Linked DNA regions of Mus musculus: regions 2 and 3 are each reported to be linked to region 1. The links are microRNA targets in miRTarBase. Many come from high-throughput screens and were not tested one by one. Region 1 holds a microRNA gene; each other region holds the end of a gene's coding sequence.

The links. The annotated mature microRNA mmu-miR-451a reads AAACCGUUACCAUUACUGAGUU and lies in region 1 at 3,565-3,586, opposite strand. An mRNA with a match to its seed (bases 2 to 7 or 8) in the 3' UTR can be bound and repressed. Matches are read on the target gene's strand: a 7mer-m8 pairs with bases 2 to 8, a 7mer-A1 pairs with bases 2 to 7 and ends in A, and an 8mer does both.
Region 2: the mRNA of Megf9 is a reported target of mmu-miR-451a. The part of its 3' UTR that is shown has no 7-base or 8-base seed match.
Region 3: the mRNA of Nsmaf is a reported target of mmu-miR-451a. The part of its 3' UTR that is shown has no 7-base or 8-base seed match.

What each region holds. Positions count from the first base shown.
Region 1 is chr11:78,069,654-78,076,771 of GRCm38, reverse strand. It overlaps Mir451a (microRNA 451a), which reads right to left and starts at 3,602; the gene lies at 3,531-3,602. Eral1 (Era (G-protein)-like 1 (E. coli)) reads left to right here. Exons shown (of 10, transcript NM_022313.2): 4 at 493-539; 5 at 721-782; 6 at 938-1,050; 7 at 1,133-1,381; 8 at 2,145-2,294; 9 at 2,412-2,492; 10 at 2,598-3,396. The coding sequence ends at 2,720. Mir144 (microRNA 144) reads right to left here and starts at 3,767; the gene lies at 3,702-3,767. Mir451b (microRNA 451b) reads left to right here and starts at 3,531; the gene lies at 3,531-3,602.
Region 2 is chr4:70,426,761-70,433,878 of GRCm38, reverse strand. It overlaps Megf9 (multiple EGF-like-domains 9), which reads left to right. Exons shown (of 6, transcript NM_172694.2): 6 at 348-1,952. The coding sequence ends at 799. Among named protein-coding and RNA genes, the nearest start is that of Cdk5rap2, 20 kb to the right of the region's middle.
Region 3 is chr4:6,390,417-6,397,534 of GRCm38, forward strand. Nsmaf (neutral sphingomyelinase (N-SMase) activation associated factor) reads right to left here. Exons shown (of 31, transcript NM_010945.2): 31 at 5,791-6,401. The coding sequence ends at 6,307. Sdcbp (syndecan binding protein) reads left to right here. Exons shown (of 9, transcript NM_001098227.1): 7 at 2,530-2,701; 8 at 3,221-3,312; 9 at 4,094-5,706. The coding sequence ends at 4,148. Among named protein-coding and RNA genes, the nearest start is that of Sdcbp, 28 kb to the left of the region's middle.

The DNA.
Region 1 (7,118 bases):
AAAAAATAAAAAGCCTCTTGTGACTCAAACTCACTTTGTAGACCAGGCCAGCCTCGAACTCAGAGATCTGCCTGCCTCTGCCTCCCAAGTGGAGTGCTGGGATTAAAGGCGTGCACCACCACGCCCGGCTTTCTTTTTTCTTTTTTTTTTTTTAAAGATTTATTTATTTATTATATGTAAGTACACTGTAGCTGTCTTCAGACACACTAGAAAAGGGTGTCAGATCTTGTTACGGATGGTTGTGAGCCACCATGTGGTTGCTGGGATTTGAACTCATGACCTTCTGAAGAGCAGTCAGTGCTCTTATCCACTGAGCTATCTCACCAGCCTGACTCTGCAAATTCTTGTTAGAATCCTTGAATACTTACCTAATATGAGTAAAGCCCTGGACTGAATCCTAAGACTTAAAGTGTGTGTGGCCCTTTTCTCCACTAGTCCATTAAAAATCTTTTCTTTTTTGGGGGGGCGGTGTGGGTATCTTTCTGATTCTAGATTCTGCTTGACACACCTGGCATCATCAGTCCTGTTAAACAGAAGAGGTATTAGCTATGGGGACACATGCTTGTGTGTTTGTTGGGGGAGGGGTGATTTTTTTAAAAAGAGGAGAAAAGGGGGAGGGGATATTTGTTCATAGGAGCTGGAAGTTTTCCCTTTTATCTACCATTCCTCATAAGAACTGACCAGTCATAAGCCTTCCTGACTGATACATTTGTTCTTTAGGCACCATCTGGAGCGCTCTTTGCTGGAAGATCCATGGACGAGCATGGAATCTGCTGATCTTGGTTAGACTCAAACTAAAGATCTGAAGCCCTATTAATGGGGCCTTTCATTCCTGGGAGTTTGGGAGCCGAGGTCTGGCTGGGGCCCGTAGCCAGGAACTTGTCGTGGGTCAGGAGGAAGGTTACAGATATCCTTTTGTCTGTCTGCCACCTTCTAGTTGTAGTTCTTGTGGATGTGTCAGACAAGTGGACCAGGAGTCGGCTCAACCCCCAGGTGCTGCAGTGCTTGACCAAGTTCTCTCAGGTCCCTAGCATCCTCGTCTTAAACAAGGTAAGGACTGCCCACGTGAGAGAGTTTTCCTTCCAGAGTCCCATGGCTCTCACCATGCACTTTGTTCATCCCGCATGTCCAGGTAGATTGCCTGAAGCAGAAGTCAGTTCTCCTGGAGCTGACAGCAGCCCTCACTGAAGGTGTTGTCAATGGCAAGAAGCTTAATATCAAGCAGGCCTTGCGCTCACGCTCCAGCACCCACTGCCCTGGCCCTGAAACTGAGGGCCCAAATGCACACTCAGTGAGGAACCCTCAGAGAATTGGCTGGCCCTACTTCCAGGAGATCTTCATGTTATCAGCACTAAACAACAAGGATGTGAACACATTGAAGGTCAGTTAGCCTTGCCCATAATCCACCACTTCTACCATGTTACGATAGGCCTCATCCAGACCAGCCTGATATCCACCGAGATCCTGTCTTTTAAAAGACAAAACAAAACTCTGGCTCTGGTCATTTATGTTTGTAATCCCCGAATTTGAAAGGCCAAGGCAAGAGAATCAGGATTTCAAGGTCATTTTTAACCACATAGTGAATTCAAGAATAGCTTCAGTTACAATGAGACCCTGTCTCAGGAAACAGAAAACAGCCAGGGGTGGTGGCACACAGCTGTTATCCCAGCACTCAGGAGGCAGAGGTAGAAGGATTACTCAGTTTGAGGTCAACCTGGTTTCCATTGTGAGTTCTAGGCCAGCCAAGCAACATAGAGACCAGAAACAAAGTTAGGAATGTATCTCAGTTGGTAGAATGCTTGTCTCGTGTGCTGGATTCAGTATCTAGCCCCACATAAGCTGGACACACACGTGGGTGCACACCTGCTACTATAGCATTTAGGAGATAGAGACAGGAAGATTGGAGGCTCATTCCCAGCCTGGACAAACGAGGATGGACAAGGCCAGCTTGATCTGCCTGAGATGCTCTCTTAAAGGTGTTTCAGTCAGTTGTGGCAGCTCGCCCCTGTAGTCAGCTACTATGTAGTAATTTTAAGGTCAGCTTGGGCTACATGAGGATGGGTCATAGCCTTTTCCTCCTAGAAGCATGCATAAACAAATGTTCTGATGGGGGTTAAGAACCTACTCTTCCTTTGTTCCCACAGCAATACCTTCTGACACAGGCCCAGCCAGGACCCTGGGAGTTCCACAGTGGTGTGCTCACTAGCCAGACACCCGAAGAGATCTGTGCCAATAAAATCAGAGAGAAGCTCTTAGAGTACCTGCCTGAGGAGGTGCCCTACGGTGTGCAGCAGGTGTGGGCAGAGGAAAAGGACACAGTGCCTGTATACCAGGCACACCCCTGGAACAGTTGGGTACCAAGAGATACAGAGATGAGCCTGCCTGATTAGTCCTGATGTCTCCTTATACAGAAGACAGTGATATGGGAGGAAGGACCAAGTGGAGAGCTAGTGATCCAACAGAACCTTCTGGTGCCCAAAGAATCTCATGTGGTAAGTGAGGGATGCTCAGAGAAGGGTAGCAGTGTTACCCATGGCCTCTTCCCCATCTGTGAGGCCAAGAGCAGAACCATGTGCCTCTCTTTTCACTACTTGCAGAGGATCCTGATTGGTCAGAAGGGCCTCTTGATCTCCCAGATTGCACAGGAGGTGGGCCGGGACCTCATGGACATCTTCCACTGTGACGTTCTCATCCGCCTCTCTGTGAAACTCCTCAAATGACCATCCTCTGTTGCTTCTCCCAGTGGATCCCTGCTCAAGCTGCTGGCAGAGTCACTGACTAGAACTACCCCTGTCAGAGGGGTCTACAGGACTGGGAAGGGCCATGGACACTGACTGGTTTCCATTGTGAGGGACCCATAGCTACAGCTGCATATGTAGCAGAGGATGGCCTAGTCGGTCGGTCATCAATGGGAGGAGAGGCCCTTGGTCCTGTGAAGGTCCTGTGCCAGCCAGCCTGGCATTGCCGAGTCTGCACAGTGCTTGCCCAACCATGTTTCCACTTAGCTCAGTTCTCGGGGCGTTCCTCTGCCTAGGGTCTCAGTCAGTTGTATAGGATACATGCTGAACCACACCCTAGAACCCATGGTTCTAAGTCATGTCCACCCCGCTAGCATTGGAACCAAACTCTTGCCCTGAGTTTCCAGTTGTTGGTAGGAACACAATTTTTCTCTTCTCCCCCAAGTTCCTCACCTTGAAGTTGCATAAGGACCCGTGTTTCCTTTTTCTTTTATTATTATTATTATTTTTTTTTTTGAGACCGGGTTCTTACCCTACAACTCTGACTGGCTGGCTATCTCTACATAGATCAGGCTAGCTTTAAACTCACAAAGGTCCTCCCATCCCATCCAACCACCCAGCCTCGGATGCTAATAAAGTTAAATGACAAGTGCTCTTATTCTTATCTTTTATTTCTTTGGCACAGTGAAGAGGAAAATGTACCCTTTCCCCCAACCCCATTCTCTTGTCAGCCTGGGTGTCCTTTTCTTCCAGCAGTCTGCTCCAGGGTCATGAGCTCTTCTTGGCACAGTTTGTGGGAGCAGCAAGAGAACCGTTACCATTACTAAACTCAGTAATGGTAACGGTTTCCTCGCCATTCCCAAGTGCCACAGCTGTCAGCAGGCTTGATTAGGCCGAGCAGTGAGCCCGTGTACTTCTGCATCTCTGCTGCAAACCAGGCAGGCTCTGGAGGTGGGGTACCCAGACTAGTACATCATCTATACTGTAGTGTCTCATCACAAACTTACAGTATATGATGATATCCCAGCCAAGGTCCTGGAGGAGGAGGTGAGCAGCAGGCCTGGAGTGAGCCAGGGGATTGGCTCAGGGTCAGTCAGGGACACCTAAGTCCCTACCTCTGCTCCTCCACTTCCCTCCCAGAGCAGCATCTCCCTGATCCTGTGGTCCAGGATAACCCCAGGTGGCTTAGAGAAGGAAGCTAAGGTCTACTCGGGTCTCTTAGGGATCCAGAGTTACAGGCAGAAACGAAGTTGTGAGGCAGGAGCTTCCCTCTGGGCAGACCTATAAGCAGGCTGACAGCCACTCCAAGGACTGCTTACCTGGAGCTGGAGTGGAGCTGGAGCCTCGTCCAGGGAATCCTCTGCACAGGGAGAGCCTGCCTTGTCTCTTCTCACTCAAGCAGCTTGGCTTTTAACCCTCTGGCCCCTCCCCTGGGTGGGGCACGTTTTCCCGGGTTCTAGAAGTCCCTGCTTCTTAACTCTTTGCCTGCTGGCTTCCTGAGACAAGCTGAGGCTTGGCTCCCTTTTTGTTTATCTTCTGCTTAGTTTCCTGTGCTGGGAATGAAACTGAAGGCTGAAGATGCTAGCCAAGAACCCCAACACTGACACTACACCGCCACCCTGCCTCCCGTCTTCTAAGTGGGTGACCATTCACCCCCAACCCCACAAAGAAGGTTACCTGCCTACCCCACTGGGCTAGGAAAGAGAAAGACCCTCACCACGTCCTTCAGGGCTTAGTTGTTCGGGCCTCGCTGAAAGGTCCCAGTTTGTTGTGGGTGATGATGGGAATGTTAGTTGAATCTGAATAGGACAGGGAGGTCCTGGCAACTGGACCTAGATGGAATCTATCTGGGAGCAGGCTCCATGTACCCTCAGCCTGACTCCATCCCTAGGCTTTGACTCTGTTTGAGCTGGGTGGGCAGAGCTGAAGCTTGCAAGCCACCTCTGGCAAGGTCCGTGGACAAGTGGGCCTCTGCTGGGAAGCTGAGGAGCACCTCAGCCCCCAGGCCTTGTGGGAGCCAGTGTAAGGGCCGGGGCATTTCATCAGAGCTCAAGACACAATGAGAGCCTGATATGTTTGGGTCTCTCCCTGTGGAGAAGCAGAAACTTGTGCTGAGACACTCCCCACAGCTGAGCCTCTGCTATTTAGACCCTCATTCTGGGGGATGTTCCGCCCCCTTTCTTATCCTAGACAGTCTGGTCTGTTTCTTCCTTTGAGGGTGGGGGGTGAGGGGTGGTGAATGGGAGTGGGAGGAGAGACCTAACCTTCGGTTCTGTGGAGGTGTCTATTTCCAGCATTGCTCCACCTCTGCCATGCCTGATCTCCCCTCACCTAGTTAGCACTGTCAGGTCCCTAAGTGTCCCTGCCACAGGGACGCTTCTCTATCTATTCACTCTTTAATTTATTTATTTATTTTTTTTGGTTTGGTTTTTCCAGACAGGGTTTCTCTGTATAGCCCTGGCTGTCCTGGAACTCACTTTGTAGACCAGGCTGGCCTCGAACTCAGAAATCCGCCTGCCTCTGCCTCCCGAGTGCTAGGATTAAAGGCGTGCGCCACCACGCCCGGCCTTTAATTTTCTTTAAAGACACATCTTATGTAGGTATGAGTGACAGTGCTTTTATTATTGTTTCTTTGTTTTGTCCTGAGAAAGGATCTCACTGTGTATCCCTGGATGGCCTGGAACTTTGTATGTAGCCCAGGCTGGCCTGGAACTTAGAGATCTGGCAGCCTCTGCCTCCTGAGTGCTTGGGTTAGAGGTGTGCAATATCTTGCCATGGTCTCCTTTTATTACTGAAACAGAATCTCATGTGGCCTCACATTCTATTTTCCTTTGTTTGTGAAGATGGGCTTTCTCTGTAGACTTGTGTCCTGAAACTATAAACCAGGCTGGCCTTGAACTCACAGAGATCTGCCTGCCTCTGCCTCTGATTGCTGGGGGTAAAGGCCTGTGCTATCACCACCTGCTCAAATTCCATTTGTAACTGAGGATGGCACTGAACTTCTGAGCTTCCTGTGTCTGATTACTGAGTGCAAGGGCTGCAGGCCTTCACCACTATGCCAGGTTTCTTCAGTGCTGAGAATGGACCCAGAGCCTTACGGCTGTGAGCAAGCATTGGAACAACTCCACTGCACCTCCGCCCTCTGCCCCTCTTTTCACTTTCTGTTTTGGGTTGCTCAGGCTGACATTGAAGCTAACTGTATAGTTTAGGCAGCCCTTGATTTTTTTTTAATCCTCCTGCCTCAAGCCTCCCAAGTAACTGGCATTACAGGCCTTTGCCAGCAGGCTGACTTGCATAAAGTGCTTTTACAAGGCACAGATGCTAGCCACTGGAGTTCAAATAAGCGAAGGCCCAAGTCTGCTCTGCTACCCACAGAGGACCACAGGGAAGGCAGGCTTCTGTTAGGCATCTGAAATTCTGTCTTTCTCTGTCTCCCCTCCTTCCCTCCCTTTTCCCATCCCTCCCTCTTGCTTGCTTGCTTGCTTTCGTATGTGTCTGAGTTTGGCCAGGAATTTCCTGTATAACTTGATCCTGCTTTCACATGCCAAATTATAGGTAGGCATCTGCCTTCATTCCATGCTCCCATGGAATATTCTTGAAAACACTTTGGAAACCCTGAGAATGCCCTGCATTAGCAGTGACAGGCCCCGAGTGGCAGTCACAGCTCACTACATCCAGCTCTGTGACTTAGAACCAAACTTAGCCTCTGTTTCCTCAAATGTAAGATGGAGCTCTTGGTGTCCTCCTTCTGGGGTGATGGTGAGGGCCAGCACACTGCAAATGTGCCTCTTGTCTCTCCTTCTCTTTGCCTCATTAGCTGTGTGGCTGGTGGCAAGTTGCTCTTCTCTGAGCTTCAGGAGTACTGCATGGCCCAGCAAGCTGTGGGTCACAGAGGTGAGAAAATGTCACCATCAGTGCTCTGGCCATGTCATCTCTTGCCTCCCTTTCATTTCTTGTAACCCTCCAAAGCCACCTCTACTCTAGGAGCCACAGACAGCCAAGCTCCTTCCCACACCAGGGCTGCCCACTGCGCTGCTCAGGCCAGACCCCAGGGTGAGTTTGAGAGAAGTGAGTGTTCCTGGGAGTAGAGGGCAGAGATATCTCTACCAGCCAGAGAGCCTGTGGCCGTGGCCTCTAACTGTGGGTGGGGGCTTCTGCAATCAGGGTGTGGAGCAGGAACAGAGTCTGGGCCTGGGCAAGATAACCTGGGATCCCCGATACGCTGACCACTATCAGGGTAGCAGCCTAGCACGTGCTTATCAGGCCTGCAGGGGCCAGAGCAGGACCTGGGGCCACTTTCCCCTCCCAAGTCTGCCTTCCCTGATGGTGGTTTTTCCACTTCTCTGACTCCCTAGCTCCCTACGGGGAAATGGAATGGAG
Region 2 (7,118 bases), not on the chromosome of region 1:
CCATATGATTTAGAGCTTAATGGTGACATATTTACAGCCTTTGCAGAAATGTCCATGATAGATAAGAAGGGTGGAAAACGTCCATGTTAGAATTTTTCTAAAGGTTTGGTGTAGGTGTTATACACATTAAAGAACAGACCTGGATGTAAGATGTAATAAATGAGCTTTCCAGACTCCATTTCTTATCATTGTATTTATTTAAAAATTATTTTTAACTTGCATTCCTCTAAGCAGAGTACCATGTCAACATTCCATATCAACTTTCACTTTCATGTGTATTTCTTTTATTGTTTCTCAAAACTAGATAATTTTGTCTTTTACATTTCATTCTCTGTTTTTATTTTCAGAAGTTATTGTTCCAACTCCTGAAGGTTCTACCATTTTGGTTTCCAATGCCTCTTTGACCACATCAGTGCCCACCCCTGTTATAAATAGTACTTTTGCCCCCACAACCCTGCAGACTATCTTTGCAGTAAGCTCTTCTGAAAACAGCACCTCAGCTCTTGCTGATGTATCATGGACCCAGTTTAACATCATCATTTTGACAGTCATCATCATTGTGGTAGTGCTGCTAATGGGATTTGTAGGAGCTGTGTACATGTACCGAGAGTACCAAAATCGGAAACTCAATGCTCCCTTTTGGACCATCGAGCTGAAAGAAGACAATATCAGTTTCAGCAGCTACCATGACAGCATCCCCAATGCAGATGTGTCGGGATTGTTAGAGGACGATGCCAATGAAGTGGCTCCCAATGGGCAGCTGACCCTGACAACACCTATTCATAACTACAAAGCCTGAGAAGCTGAGTTGTCCTCCTGGATTGTCAGAAAACAGTGCTCACTTAAACAGCACCTGACCTCTGGCTGCACAGAGCCTAGGTAGAGTTTGTTGAGAAAGGTATTGTGCAAATGTTCAGGTACAAACTGTAGTGCGCTTAGCCTGTCTGTTGCTCTTAATTCCCCCATGAAGATCTGAAGCACTCATCATCGAGGACTTGAAGTAAAGTATATTTTTGTAGCAAACCACATGTATATATGGAAAGGCTGAATCCCACAGAGCAGCCTAAGTCTACCTGGCCTCTCAAAGGACTGCTCGGAAAGTGTTCACCTCACCAGATGTGATAGAATGTTGATGTGGAGGGGAAAGACTGATGGAAGAATTCATCTCCACTTTGGAAACATATTTTATAAAAGAGAGGCAGGGATTGTGTTCATTTTACTGTACTAAGAGATGTAACTTAGGAAGAGATGATATCTAGGCTAATAAAAAAAATCTTGGTTGTGTGTAGACTAAGAAAGGTGCCAAGAAGTTCTGTAGAAGGGCTTGGCTTTCCTTCTAAGAGTCTCCTTCAAAAATGGAGTTAAAGCACAGGATAAGCTTCCATGGTGAGGGTAGGCACAGCAGGCAGAGAGCAGAAAGCTGATGGTCTCCTCAAAGAGGTTCCTGCCTCTAAAGAAACAAGGTGTACATAATTAATGTAGCATTATCTGGTCAACATTGTACTTGTATCTATTTGTAAAAAATCATGTCCTATTTTATCATCTAGACTTTATCTGTATAGCAGTTAATGGTGTTGTAAAAAGAAGATATGGGAACTTGGTTAAAATACTGTAAAATAGGTGACAATATTGCTAGAGCTGGGACTCTGGTGAGCATCAGTCATTTTAGTCCCTATTTGGACACTGTTGAAATTGATAAGAGGTCAAATGTTTCTAATCTTTCCTCTCTCAACCTAGAGTCATATGCTCTTTGACTTACCATAGATTCAAGCAATAGATTTTGAAGTCTGCAATTGCGAAACTGGAACACAGGCTGCATTCTCCAGACACACCTAATTAGCCACTCTGTTTTACACTGCTCAGTGTAAACTCCTCAGGAAAAGACTTCTTTCCTGAATGTAAAAGACAGTCTTCCAAAGGACAGAAAATTTAAATTAAAAAGAAAAGCCATCACATCACTTCGGGGTTCTTGTTTTTATGCCCATAAAATATTTATGTGCCTCCCATATCTGCCAAAATAAAGGCCTCTGACATTTGAGCATAACCTGTCACCCATGCACCATGAGGACTGTTTGGCTTCTTCAGTGCTGGAGTTCATCCATCTTCATATCTGGGCAGAGGGTCACTATGGGTGTGTATTTAGTCCTTGCTTTTTGATGCCATTTTCCCTGAGGCCAAGTACTGCTGCTTTCATTTGTTATGCATCCATAGGTTGTAGATTGAGAGCCAAGAAAAGTGACTCAGACTATGAAGTAGGGGAAAACAAAACAGAGTAGACCTAGGAAGCTCAGACTCCTTTTCTTACTTCCTCAGAAAAATAAAGACGTTGGTCATCCTTTGTAGGAGACCTCACCTTTTTCTCAGGGTTTAGAAATGACTGTATACTAGAGGATCCATAGGTAACCTGGGTGTGCTCTGCATTTTTGGCTGTCTTTATAAAGGTAGACATTACATCTCATTGTACTAAAACAATTTACAAGTGACTGATTGCCTAGCATATGAGTCTATGAGTTTAATCCTTAGAATTACAAAATATATTAATAATATTTTGCCCTTTGTCATTTAAAAAACACCTTTCCATGTGTTCTTTGATCCTCACCCTAGCCTCCTTAGGAAGTAGTCTTGTGCTCATTTCATAGATGAAGTAACTGAGGCACAGAGAGTCTAAGTTGTTCAGCGCTATACCATGCACATCATCATTATTATTCCTGGAATCAGTTCTCACCTCTACTTCATTGTCATTTTGCTATGTGATACATATAAATCTACTAGCCATGGGCCCTAGAAGACTGGAATGGAAATTCCCATTTGTGGATGCTTCTAATAGAGCCCTTGTATGCTCTCTAGAATACTACCCCCCCCCCCACCCCGCCATACCATGTGTATATATTGGGGTAGGGGAAGTATGTAACTCACAGGCACAATTCAGGGCCACATAGATACTAAGGACTTTGTTGAAAGAACACACATGGATTTCTACCTAAAGACAAGATTAATGACGAGAAGGTAAAGCTGCCAGTTCATTAAAATGAATGAATTCCTGAATTGGGGAGGGGAGCAGAGAGACTTTTCCTAGCAGTTGCAGCACAGGTGTGTATTGACTATACATCACAGAGTTCCAAAGTGCTGAGCACAATGGCTGCCTCCCAGATACCCCATCTCCTGCCAAAATAAGTGGAAAGGAGATAAAAGCCAAACGTTTGTTAAACAGTTCACACAATAAATAAATGTTTATATGAGTTTAAGAGCCAAAGTAAACAGTCGAGATTCCAGCTAAATAGAGATTCCATGATACAGATCTTAAGAGATAACACAGAAACTAAACCACAAATTTATCAAGTACCTGTTAATTGCTCCTAAATCATGTTTTTCACAATGAAAAAAGCTATAGCCTTAAAATGTGTTGTAAATAACATCATTTAGTGACCCCGTTGCTCTGCTTATACAAATTATTTTGTTGTAAAGATCAACCATGAGGTGATCTCTCCTTGAAAGTAGAGTAGGAAACCAGAATAAAACATGCTGCTGGGTTTTCATTCCTCTGGAGACATTATCACCCAATGCCACGAGTCCTCTGCAAAGCCCGATGCTGGAACAATTTTTGTCTAAGCATAAAGAAAATGTTGTTTTTAAAATATACTACATACATGACCTTAATGAGAAATGGATGTCAGTGCTAGGAAGGAACTAATGCTTGCGCCTTCAATAGCTCCCCTGATTAAGTCCTGTGCATTTCTGAAGGTGGATGTTGTACTTGTCAACCATGCCTTTGTTCCCTTACCACCACCATCCCCTACATTGCCTCCAAGGACTCTCCTATTTACAGTCTCTCCAGAGAAAGCAAAATGATAATTAAAATCTCTTATTTATATGAACATGGTGTGGACCCAGTACATTATTTTTCCCAGGGATACTTAGATTTTAAGGGAGAGCAACAGGACAGACATGGGCTGGGAGGGTAGGTTTTTATTGTTGTTTTGATTTGGTTTTTAGTTGTTATTGTTTCATTTTTTTCTTTTAACAAGACTATCTAAATCCCAAATTATATTACTTTTCCCTAGTCCCAATATTTCCAGAATCATTAGTCATCAAAGCAATACTCACTGGTCTACCAGTTAATTTGAGTTATCTGATCATCAAGATGTTGTGGTTTAGAATAAGAGTCAGTTAGAGCTTTATTATTCACCATTCACCCTGGTCCTCTGCTTTTTTTATGTTTATAAACATAAAAGTAATTCTGATGATTCTCTCTGACTTGGTGTAGTTTGAAGTGGTGTGTGGGTAGGAGGTGGGTTTCTGCATCTTTCAAGGAAAGCTCTCTGACAAAATATTCATATTCAGAATAAGTTAAAAGAATTCAGTGAAATCATTAGGACAACAGAAGTTGTGACCTAATCCATACACAAATAAATAAATGAATAAATAAATAAATACCTTTAGTCTGTTGGTACTTTTGACAGCAAATGGTTTAGGACTTAAGAGGTTTGGTGTCTGTCTGTGTTGTAGAGCTGGGGAAGGTGACAGACGGTTAATTTGTCTTTTGCTATCACTCTGAGCAAATGGCTAAGCAGCAGGAACATGGTGATTAACCTGAAGAAGTCAAATAATATTGAATGGCTAAAGATTGTGGATCATTAAAACATTAGTGGTTTGAATGATACTTTTTCAAAGACATTGAGAATCTTCCTTGTTACTTATGCATACACGGAAAGTTCAGCAGCCTTGGAGTGAGCCCAGAGCTTCAGATTCAAGCTTGCCCAAAGCTAAATGACTTCTAGTCCACTTTTAATGCTAGGCACAAGCATTCTTTACTCTTAAATGTCAGTCCAATCAATTAGGGTATGTTTCTAAAAATTAAACTTGTATTTATGTCACTAAAATCCTAACCCAAAATTTAAAAACATGTCTCATATGTGTGCTGTACTAGGCTTCATGATGCATTTCTAAATTTGTGTATGATTTGAATATATGAAAGAATTTATACAAGAGTGTTATTTAAAATTATTAATAAATGTATATAATTTGTACCAATTGTAGATTCGTTTCACTTTTTTATGTAGTGAGAGATTTAAGAAGTCTACAGGTAAGTGCTAAAGACCACTTGTCAGTTCATTCCATAGAAGTCTTTACATCCTTTCTGTACTGACCAATATTTTGTTTAAGTTCATCAAAGGAGTGTCTACTACTTGGGGAGAAAATACCATATGGAACAATGCATTCTCATACAGCAAAATTCACACCAGAGATGAAAATATATATGAACATTTATTACTGGGCCGGGGATATGGCTTAGGTGTAGGTCACTTGCATACCAAGCCCAAGTCCCCAAGTTCCATCCTCAGCACTTATAATAAACAATAGCATATATTTTTGTTCACAACATTTTTTGTCTTCTGTGCCACTTCCTGAGATTTCTATCAAACTTATGTGCTGTTCACTGAGATTTCTATCAAAATATGTTGAGACTGATTCCCTTTGGATTTCTGACTTATACATGTGAATATTTTCTTTTTTTAAATGATTTTTGTTAGATATTTTCTTTATTTGCATTTCAAATGTTATCCCCTTTCTTAGTTTCCCCTCCAAAAATTCCCTATCCTCTCCCCCTGCTCACCAGCCCACCCACTCCTGCTTCCTTGCCCTGGCATTCCCCCATACTGGGGCATAGAACCGTCACAGGACCAAGGGTCTCTCCTCCCACTGTTGAGTGACTAGGCCATCCTCTGCTACATATGCAGCTAGAGCCATGCGTCTCACCATGTGTTTTCTTTGATTGGTGGTTTAGTTAGTCCCAGGGAGCTCTGAGAGTACTGGTCAGTTCATATTATTGTTCCTCCTATGAGTCTGCAAATCCCTTCAGCTCCTTGGGTACTTTCTCTAGCTCCTTCATTGGGGACCCTGTGCTCCATCCAATGGTTGGCTGTGACCATCCACTTCTGTACTTGTCAGGCACTGGCAGAGCCTCTCAGGAGTCAGCAGTATCAGGCTCCTGTCAGCAAGCTCTTGTTGGCATCCATTCATCTGGAATAACAAAAAACCTAGGATAGCAAAAGCTATTCTCAACAATAAAAGAACCTCTGATGAAGATTTTCTGAACTCTGGAAATGAAGTACATTCTATGTTTTTTAGGTTACCCATAAAAGAGTGCATCTTTCTATTATTTTAAGGTTCCATTGAAGAAGTTTGGTTGTGTTTTTGTTTTTTTCCTGTTAAACTGTGTTTAATGAGATGCCATCTGGTTATCCCATTAAACATCCAAGGGTGTTTTGAAAACATGCAGCAAGAAGTCTCTTTGCACTGAGAACTTTAAAACCTTAAGTCAATTTATTCTACCTCAGCTGCTCATGATAGCGCACCCCTGTGATCTCAGCACATGGAAGGTGAAAGCAGGAGAATCAGGAGGTTAAGATCAGCCCTGACTACATAGTCACCTCTAGGCTAGCCCGGGCTACGAGAGTCTCTATCTTAAAAAGAAAATTACATTTCAGTTGAAAAATTTTAAATATGCTTTATAAACAAACCTTCAGTAGTTAGCATCATATGTCTGTATGATATATATTTGGTATGTTAAGGGAACAAAATAATTATGCCAGTTTTCAAGAGAAAAAATATGCAAACAACACACTAGGAGAAATACCACTAAAAGTATAAAGTATTTTTATATTTCTGATGAAAGTCTATAAAGACATCTCCATTGCATTATCACAACTGATTGTATTAATTTTCTTCAGGGGAGTAGAACATGTTCCAAAAGTTCAAATGCTCTATTGTAATTTAAATGTGACAACAATTGTAAATAAAACCATTATAATCAGTTTTGTCTTGCTGATTTTTCTTATGGTGTAGGACTTCAGAAGACTCTGATCCTCATACATGCTAGACAAGGTCTCTAGAACTTCTTCTCTACCGCTTGCTTATTTAGAGCTTCAAAATTAAACTAGGAATGGTGATGTGATTCAATCAGCTGATAGAGGTACTTATTGCACAATCCTGGAGACTGGCGTTCAGTCGCCAGAACCCAAGTAAAGGTGGAGTCAGAGAACTGACTCCACTGAGTTGTCCTCTTGACTCCAACCCATACACAAAATAATATTTTTTTATTAAAAACAACTTTTATG
Region 3 (7,118 bases), not on the chromosome of region 1:
ATGGCCTTAAAATCTTACAGTAACACCATGGCAGGGTTCTAGAAAGTCAGCGAGTGTTAAGTGGCGTGACAGCTGCTGAGGCAGACACTAGAGGCCTGTTCTCTTCAAATTAGAGCAAAGTTTTGCCTGTAATCCCAGCAACCTGGCTTGGGTCCCTGAGCTCCCACGGTAGAGAGAGCTTACTCCTGCAACTTACACTTTATGTATATGTACACGTAATAAATAAATGAAACAAATGAAAAGTCATTAAAAATTTCAAAATTGAGATGTGACAAACACAGTGAAGGTTTGGGTTTTTTTTTGTTTGTTTGTTTGTTTTTTGTTTTTTTGAGATTTTTGAGACAGGGTTTCTCTGAGTGTCCCTGGCTGTCCTGGAACTCACTCTGTAGACCAGGCTGGCCTCGAACTCAGAAATCCACCTGCCTCCAGTGAAGTTTTAAGATGTCAGTGTCCTAAGATCAGAAGTGCTGAAGGGACTCAGTGGTTTAGTGGAAAAGCTGTCTCACTGTTACTGTAAGGTAACTGGACTATAGAGGAAATGTGTATCAGTAGCTCCACAGAGCACTATGCTCTTCTCTCATTCATAACGGGAGGAGGTCTTGGGAGTGAGTCAGTCAAACCATGTGACGGATAAAGGCTACTGAGGGTTCCATATGTGTAGCAGAATCTTCCCCCAATTAATTTAATAGTATACAAGAAGAAGCCTGTGATTGGACAAGGAGAAGGGAGGCAGAGATAAGAGTTTCAGAGACAGGGACAGAAAGAGAAGAGAGAAGGAAGGAAAGGAAGAAGGAAGGAAGATGGAGGAAGAGAAAGCCAGTCCAGATTCGGCGTGGCTTTAAATAGCCACAGGTAGCTATGACTATCTGATAAGGGATGGATAATTACAGGACACTTTGTCTTATCTTGGTGGGCAATTTATATCAATATCAATTGGCTCTGTGTTCATTGTGTGGGCGTTTTGTGGGGTGAGGATTTACTGATATAAATCACAAGCCTCTAGAGTTGATTTTCCTGGGTTCCTGGGATTTGGGACCGCTGACCACAGGGGGTGGATGGCTGGGAATGGGAGTGGAATCTGTGTCAAGAGAACCATGAGATGGACCATCTCTGCTTGGGGCTAGCCATGGAGGCAGTGGGGTCACTGGGCCTGAGAGTAGCCAGTGATAGGCAGATTGGTGCCATTTTTTATTATTTCCTGCAACAAGTGGCAAACCAATGTGTTGGGGAAGAATCCACTAGAAATTTAAGATTATTAGCCTGAGAGCTAGAATTTTTTTCTTTTTTCTTTTCTTTTAGAATTTTTTATTGGATAATTTCTTCATTTACATTTCAAATACTATCCCAAAAGTCCCCTATACCCTCCCCCTGCCCTGTTCCCCAACCCACCCACTCCGCTTCCTGGCCCTATACAGGAAAACTTTATTTTCTAAGTGAGAGAAAGGTGGCGCTAGGATGAGTCACGTGGACTCAAGCACGGGAACCTTGAAGCAGAGAAAGGGGCTCTGAGGTCCCTTGCTGTGGAGAGAGACAAGATGGCTGCTCTGAGTCAGAGAGTTGGACAATGGAAGCTGCCTACATCTTGAGGCAGATATTGATTTAACTGTGAATTTATAATATTGGCATTATTTGCTTTTAGGATAGGATATATACAGATTTTGTCCAAATCATGTGGGGAATTTCACCCGCAGTTCAGAACTAGGATAGGGAAAATTAGTCACTGACTCCAAGTAGAGAGAGCAGTGATAATTACCTGCTATTAACAAGTATTAATTAATAATGTCTGTGGCTCCAGGTAGAGAGCCCAACAGATGGTATAAGAGGTCGGCTGCTTTAGGCAGAGCGCTTAACAAGTAACAACTACCTTCTTCCTATAGGCAGATATTAGTGAAAGTTTGAATTAATTGCTTTAAAGATGGTATAAAGATATATTGCTCTAGTAAGTCTTACAGGAGATTCAAATTCTGTCTAACGTAGGCTCCATGGGAATTTTGGGTTTATTTCCTGGCTTTAGGGACTAGCTGCCTGCTTATAAGCAGGTGTTGATAGAAGTGTGAATCAATTGTTTTAAAGATGGTATAATAAAGTCTGCAGGATAACTAACTCATATTCTCTAATGTGGGCTCCACGGGAATTTTGGGTTATTATCCTACATGGCAAAATAGAAAAAGCCTAAGAATAGGCACATACAGCATTTTAGTTTACTTCATTTGTTGTGGATTGTTTTAATTTCACATGGGTGTGAGTTGGAGCTCTGTGGTTATATTACTCCTCTGGGAGAGAGGTCAATATAAAGGGTTTCTGGTCACTGGCTCAAGGATATGCTGATTTGGGAGAAAGGTCTTGTCTTTGTGGTTTTAGAAAAGTGATTAGTGTCTGTACACCTTCTAGAGTAATATGGAACAGTATAGCTATAATAGTTAGAAACACCACTTTCTGTATCAAAATATCCCATGTGGCAGAGTTTGTAGGTATGTCATGTCTATTGAAACATGAAATTGAAGTTTCAGTCTAACCCTTATGCTTCAGGCCCTTTGAACGGACAGTTACTATGCATAAGGACAGCAGTGGACATGTTGGCTTTATCTTTAAAAGTGGAAAAATCACATCCATAGTAAAAGATAGTTCTGCTGCCAGAAACGGCCTCCTCACTGATCACCACATCTGTGAGATCAACGGACAGAACGTCATTGGCTTGAAGGTAAGGGACTCACATGACCCTGGTTTCGATATCTTTTTTTTTTTTTTTTTTGGGTAGAAAACATCATTTAGGTGGCAGGACTTTTGTGTTGACCCCCCCTGGAATCCCTTGAGCTAGAATTCTATAGAAATATGGGCAGGGAAATATTTAGACATTCTGAATGGATGCGTGTCCAGTTTTTTTCAGTCCAGAAATATAGAAAAGGAATAAGTTTGGCATATCGTAATACTTTGTTTTTAATAGACTTTGATTAAAATTTAGTCCATAAATTCTAGAATACAGTTAACTGTCTATGGGACAAGCCATTCCCAAGTAAGGACTTTTGGTCAGTACCTTCAACTTTGTTACTAGCTTAAGAAAATTTTATCTGTAAGATTAAAATTAAAATTTAGACATACCAGGGACTGGGATGTCAGAGATATCAGCAAGACAACATCAAAATATAGTGTGTTTCTTACCTAAGAGTTTTTGTGTATGAAATAAGGCCTAGTGAAATGTAACTCTATTATGTTTCGTCAGGATGCTCAGATTGCAGATATACTGTCAACAGCTGGGACTGTGGTTACCATCACAATCATGCCTACTTTTATCTTCGAACACATTATTAAACGGTAAGTGAATAGCTCTTCAACTTTATGATCTCCAGCACCTGATATAAATGTGAACAGTGCTTTGAGCTTGCAGGTCTTGTGCATATTAGAAATCTAGTCATGGTGGTTCCTGACGGATTGCTTGCCTGTGAGGTAGTAAGAGTGGCTGTTGCTATTCTTTCCCGTATCCTAGCCAGTAGAGCGGTACCCGGTGCTTGCTATCTATCTATTGGAACTGAGGAGTGTAGAGTCCAGGAGAGCTGATAAAGGCCGGCAAGGGTGATTCATTCCAGAGCCTTTCAGCTCCTATGCTCCTTCATCGCTGTTACCATGCTACCTTGGAAACTTCTTCCAAAGTCCTGATATAGCACATGAAAGTGAGATTTGGAATAGACATAAACATAACCTTTGTAATGCAATTTTTGTCTATATTTTTGGGTTTTGGGTAGAATGCAGCTAGCTACCCTCGGAGTAGGGAAAGGGGTTGATTATTTTACAGTCTTTTGTTCTTTTAAATTACTGGTAGGTTCCTTATGCCCCTTTCTGACTCGTCACAGCCTTGCTGCTTCAATGAAAGAGCCAGTCGTAGTGTAAAGGATGCACACCTTCTCTAACAGCCATCCCTGATGTAAATAGCTATTCTTTCTGGACAGTTTCTGACAACTTGATTATCAGTTCCTTAGATCCGAGATCATTCATCGATGACAATAGGATAGGGCTAAGCTGGAATTGGGGTTGTCTTAAATTACCATGGCCTTCTTGAAACTAGATGTGAGTTACATGATGAGTTGCTCTCTTGTAGGATGGCTCCCAGCATTATGAAAAGCCTGATGGATCACACCATTCCTGAAGTTTAAACCCTTGTACAATGCATCACGGCTGAATGTTTCCAGTTTTCCTCTTCGGCAACTTGTCTATTTCGCACATGAAGCTTTCCCGGAGCCAGGGAGAATATGCTGCATGGAGACCTTTCTCTCTTCTCTCATAGCTGGGAACCCGCTCTATCTGATACTGGCTTCAGATTTTAAGATGGGTGTAGCCTTAGCCTGGTTTTACAGATGTGAGACTCCCAAAAGATTTACTGACTTTCCTAGACTGGGTTCTTTACTGGGAACCTGATGTTTTTATATAAGCCATTGTGATTAGGATGACTGGTATAGGCTTAGCTGTGTCTGAGACCTGGTCAGCTTTCTCCTAGAACAAAGCACAGTGCTAGTCATGTGCTTCAATTCTGTGGCATTCTTGGACTTTAGTACGTCAGCATAGTACATTTAGAATGATTGCCTTTGATAGTTATTTTTTTAAGTTTTCTCTGTGTGAGTGTGTAAAATTCCAATTAATCAACACTGTTTTCATTCCACAAAAGCATTACACAGTTGTGTGTAGGTTGCAAGAGACTGTAATGATTGTCACTAATCTTAACTACCTTCACTTAATATGCTTCAATTGTCGCCTTAACTACAGTAAGCATTTAGAATAAAAGCCAAAATAGAATTATTGCTGCCTTCTGAAACTTGAGATGTTAGCTCTCTATTAAGCTGTTCTGTGCTAGCCCTGAGCAGCTCACTGGTAAAGCAGAGCTGCCTACTTGTATCAAGATTTTCTAGTCACTGCATAAAGGAAACGCCTAAGAGTTGCCGTATTGCTTTCTGAGAAACAAATTGCTATATATTTCATGTAAAAGTTGTTATACTAAATAGAATAAATTTTGGAGTCTCTTTTTCACTCTAGTGGGTAATATCTAATTTGGCATTTGAGTCCTAACATTATGTAACTTTAGCTAGGTTGGGGTCGTTTTAGAATGTTTCCCTAGTCATCTTAATTTGTTCCATTTTCTGACTCTGTCCTATAAACAAAAATGGCAATGACACTTTATGATTTTTTCTTTCTTAGCTTGTGCCTATCCTATTATTTTATGTGATATTATTAAATGTATAAAAATGTGAAATTTCCGTCTGTCTGTGCCTGCATCAGTCCTTACTGTGAGGCTAACACTAGGTTCTTTAAGAAGCTTTAGCGGAGACTGCCTGGAAATACACTTGCTGGGCATCCCTCTTGGCCAGCCTGTGGTTACCTTCACCCTGCGCACTGACATCAGTGAAGGAACCTGGAAAGGCTGCTGCGTCTCCAGTGAATCCCGAGACCATCCACATGTATTAGTGACACTTAAAACTAACTCAAGGTTCTACTACTTTAGTCTGGTGCCTTTTCTCTATAACATGTTTATATCATGCTTCCTTTTCTCTATAACATGCTTCAGAAAATTTGTAATCTTGTAGTTGCTGGTCAGAGACTGAATGTAAGAAAATCATTGCAGTTTCTATATAGGCTACCTTGTTGGAAATTTATAATTCTCAGTTTGATTATCCACCTTGCTTTCTGGACTTGGTTCTGAATATAGGTCCAAAAGAAATGAAATTGTGTTTGTTTCATTAAGTATGGTTTTGTAGAAGGAATAATACTTGTGATTCTTAAGTTATTTAAATAAGATAAGAGTGCTTTCATTACAGAAAAATATTTTTAATGTAGAAAAGATGAACCTTTAGTAGCATAATGAAATATAAACCATTGCTATACACAGTAACAGACTTAATGTTATTAAGAATCTGGGCACGCAGCACTGCCGAAAGGAACCAGTCCATGACCGCACATCAAAGAACCGTGTTACCGTCAGAACCTGGGCAGCTTGAATACAGACTGTCCTCTTGGGGACTGAGCTGGCCAGTGCTGGCCAGTGTTCCTCAGTCCGACTGGGTTTATCCTGAACACCCAGTAGTCTTCAAACTGTTGTCATGGTTGATAGTTCTCTGTCCTTTCCCCTAACACTGCCATGTTATATCTGCTTAATGGATGACAACAAATGGCTCTGAATGAAGTCACCATGATTTAGGAAGTTGAAACCACACATTCTTCATGTGGTAAAACTTCTAAGTACTATCATTGCACATTCACCAGTTTAAAGTCTGGTTTAAAATACATTAAGTAGAATTGTACTTGATGGAGAGGAAAAGGCACTTAATACTGCAATTTCCAGAACATAATTTGTCTGTCTTCCCCTCCGGTGATAATACTGCTACACTGTTCGTTCATCCACATGCATGTCACAGCACCTGAAAGACATCTCTGTTAGCAGGTCAACCAAATGCAGATGTGCTGCCTGCCATAGGAGGTAATCAGCATACCCGCGCTCCTATTATACACTATGTAAAGGTTTGTTGTTGTTTTGTCAATTCAGGGTTTTATTTTTTTTCCTTTTTTTTAATTAGGTATTTTCTTCATTTACATTTCCAATGCTATCCCAAAAGTCCCCCATACCCTCCTCCCCACCCCCCTACCCACTCTCCCACTTCTTGGCCCTGGCGTTCGCCTGTACTGGGGCATATAAAGTTTTCAAGACCAATGGGCCTCTCTTTCCACTGATGGCCGACTAGGCCATCTTCTGCTACATACGCAGCTAGAGTCAAGAGCTCCGGGGTACTGGTTAGTTCATAATGTTCCACCTATAGGGTTGCAGACCCCTTTAGCTCCTCGGGTTCTTTCTCTAGCTCCTCCATTGGGGGCCCTATGTTCCATCCAATAGCTGACTGTGAGCATCCACTTCTGTGTTTGCCAAGCCCAAGAATAGCCTCACAAGAGAAAAACTTGCTTCTACAAAGAACTTACAAGGAGTGAACTATCTCACTATGAATCTAAAAACAAAATGATTGATGGAAACATACTCCTTGGCGAACGGTAAAAGACACATAGAGAAATGTATGGAAAGGGAATTGGGCAGCCTGTAGCCAGCCATGTGATTTTATGTCTTTTTCATTGAAAGGTTCACATAA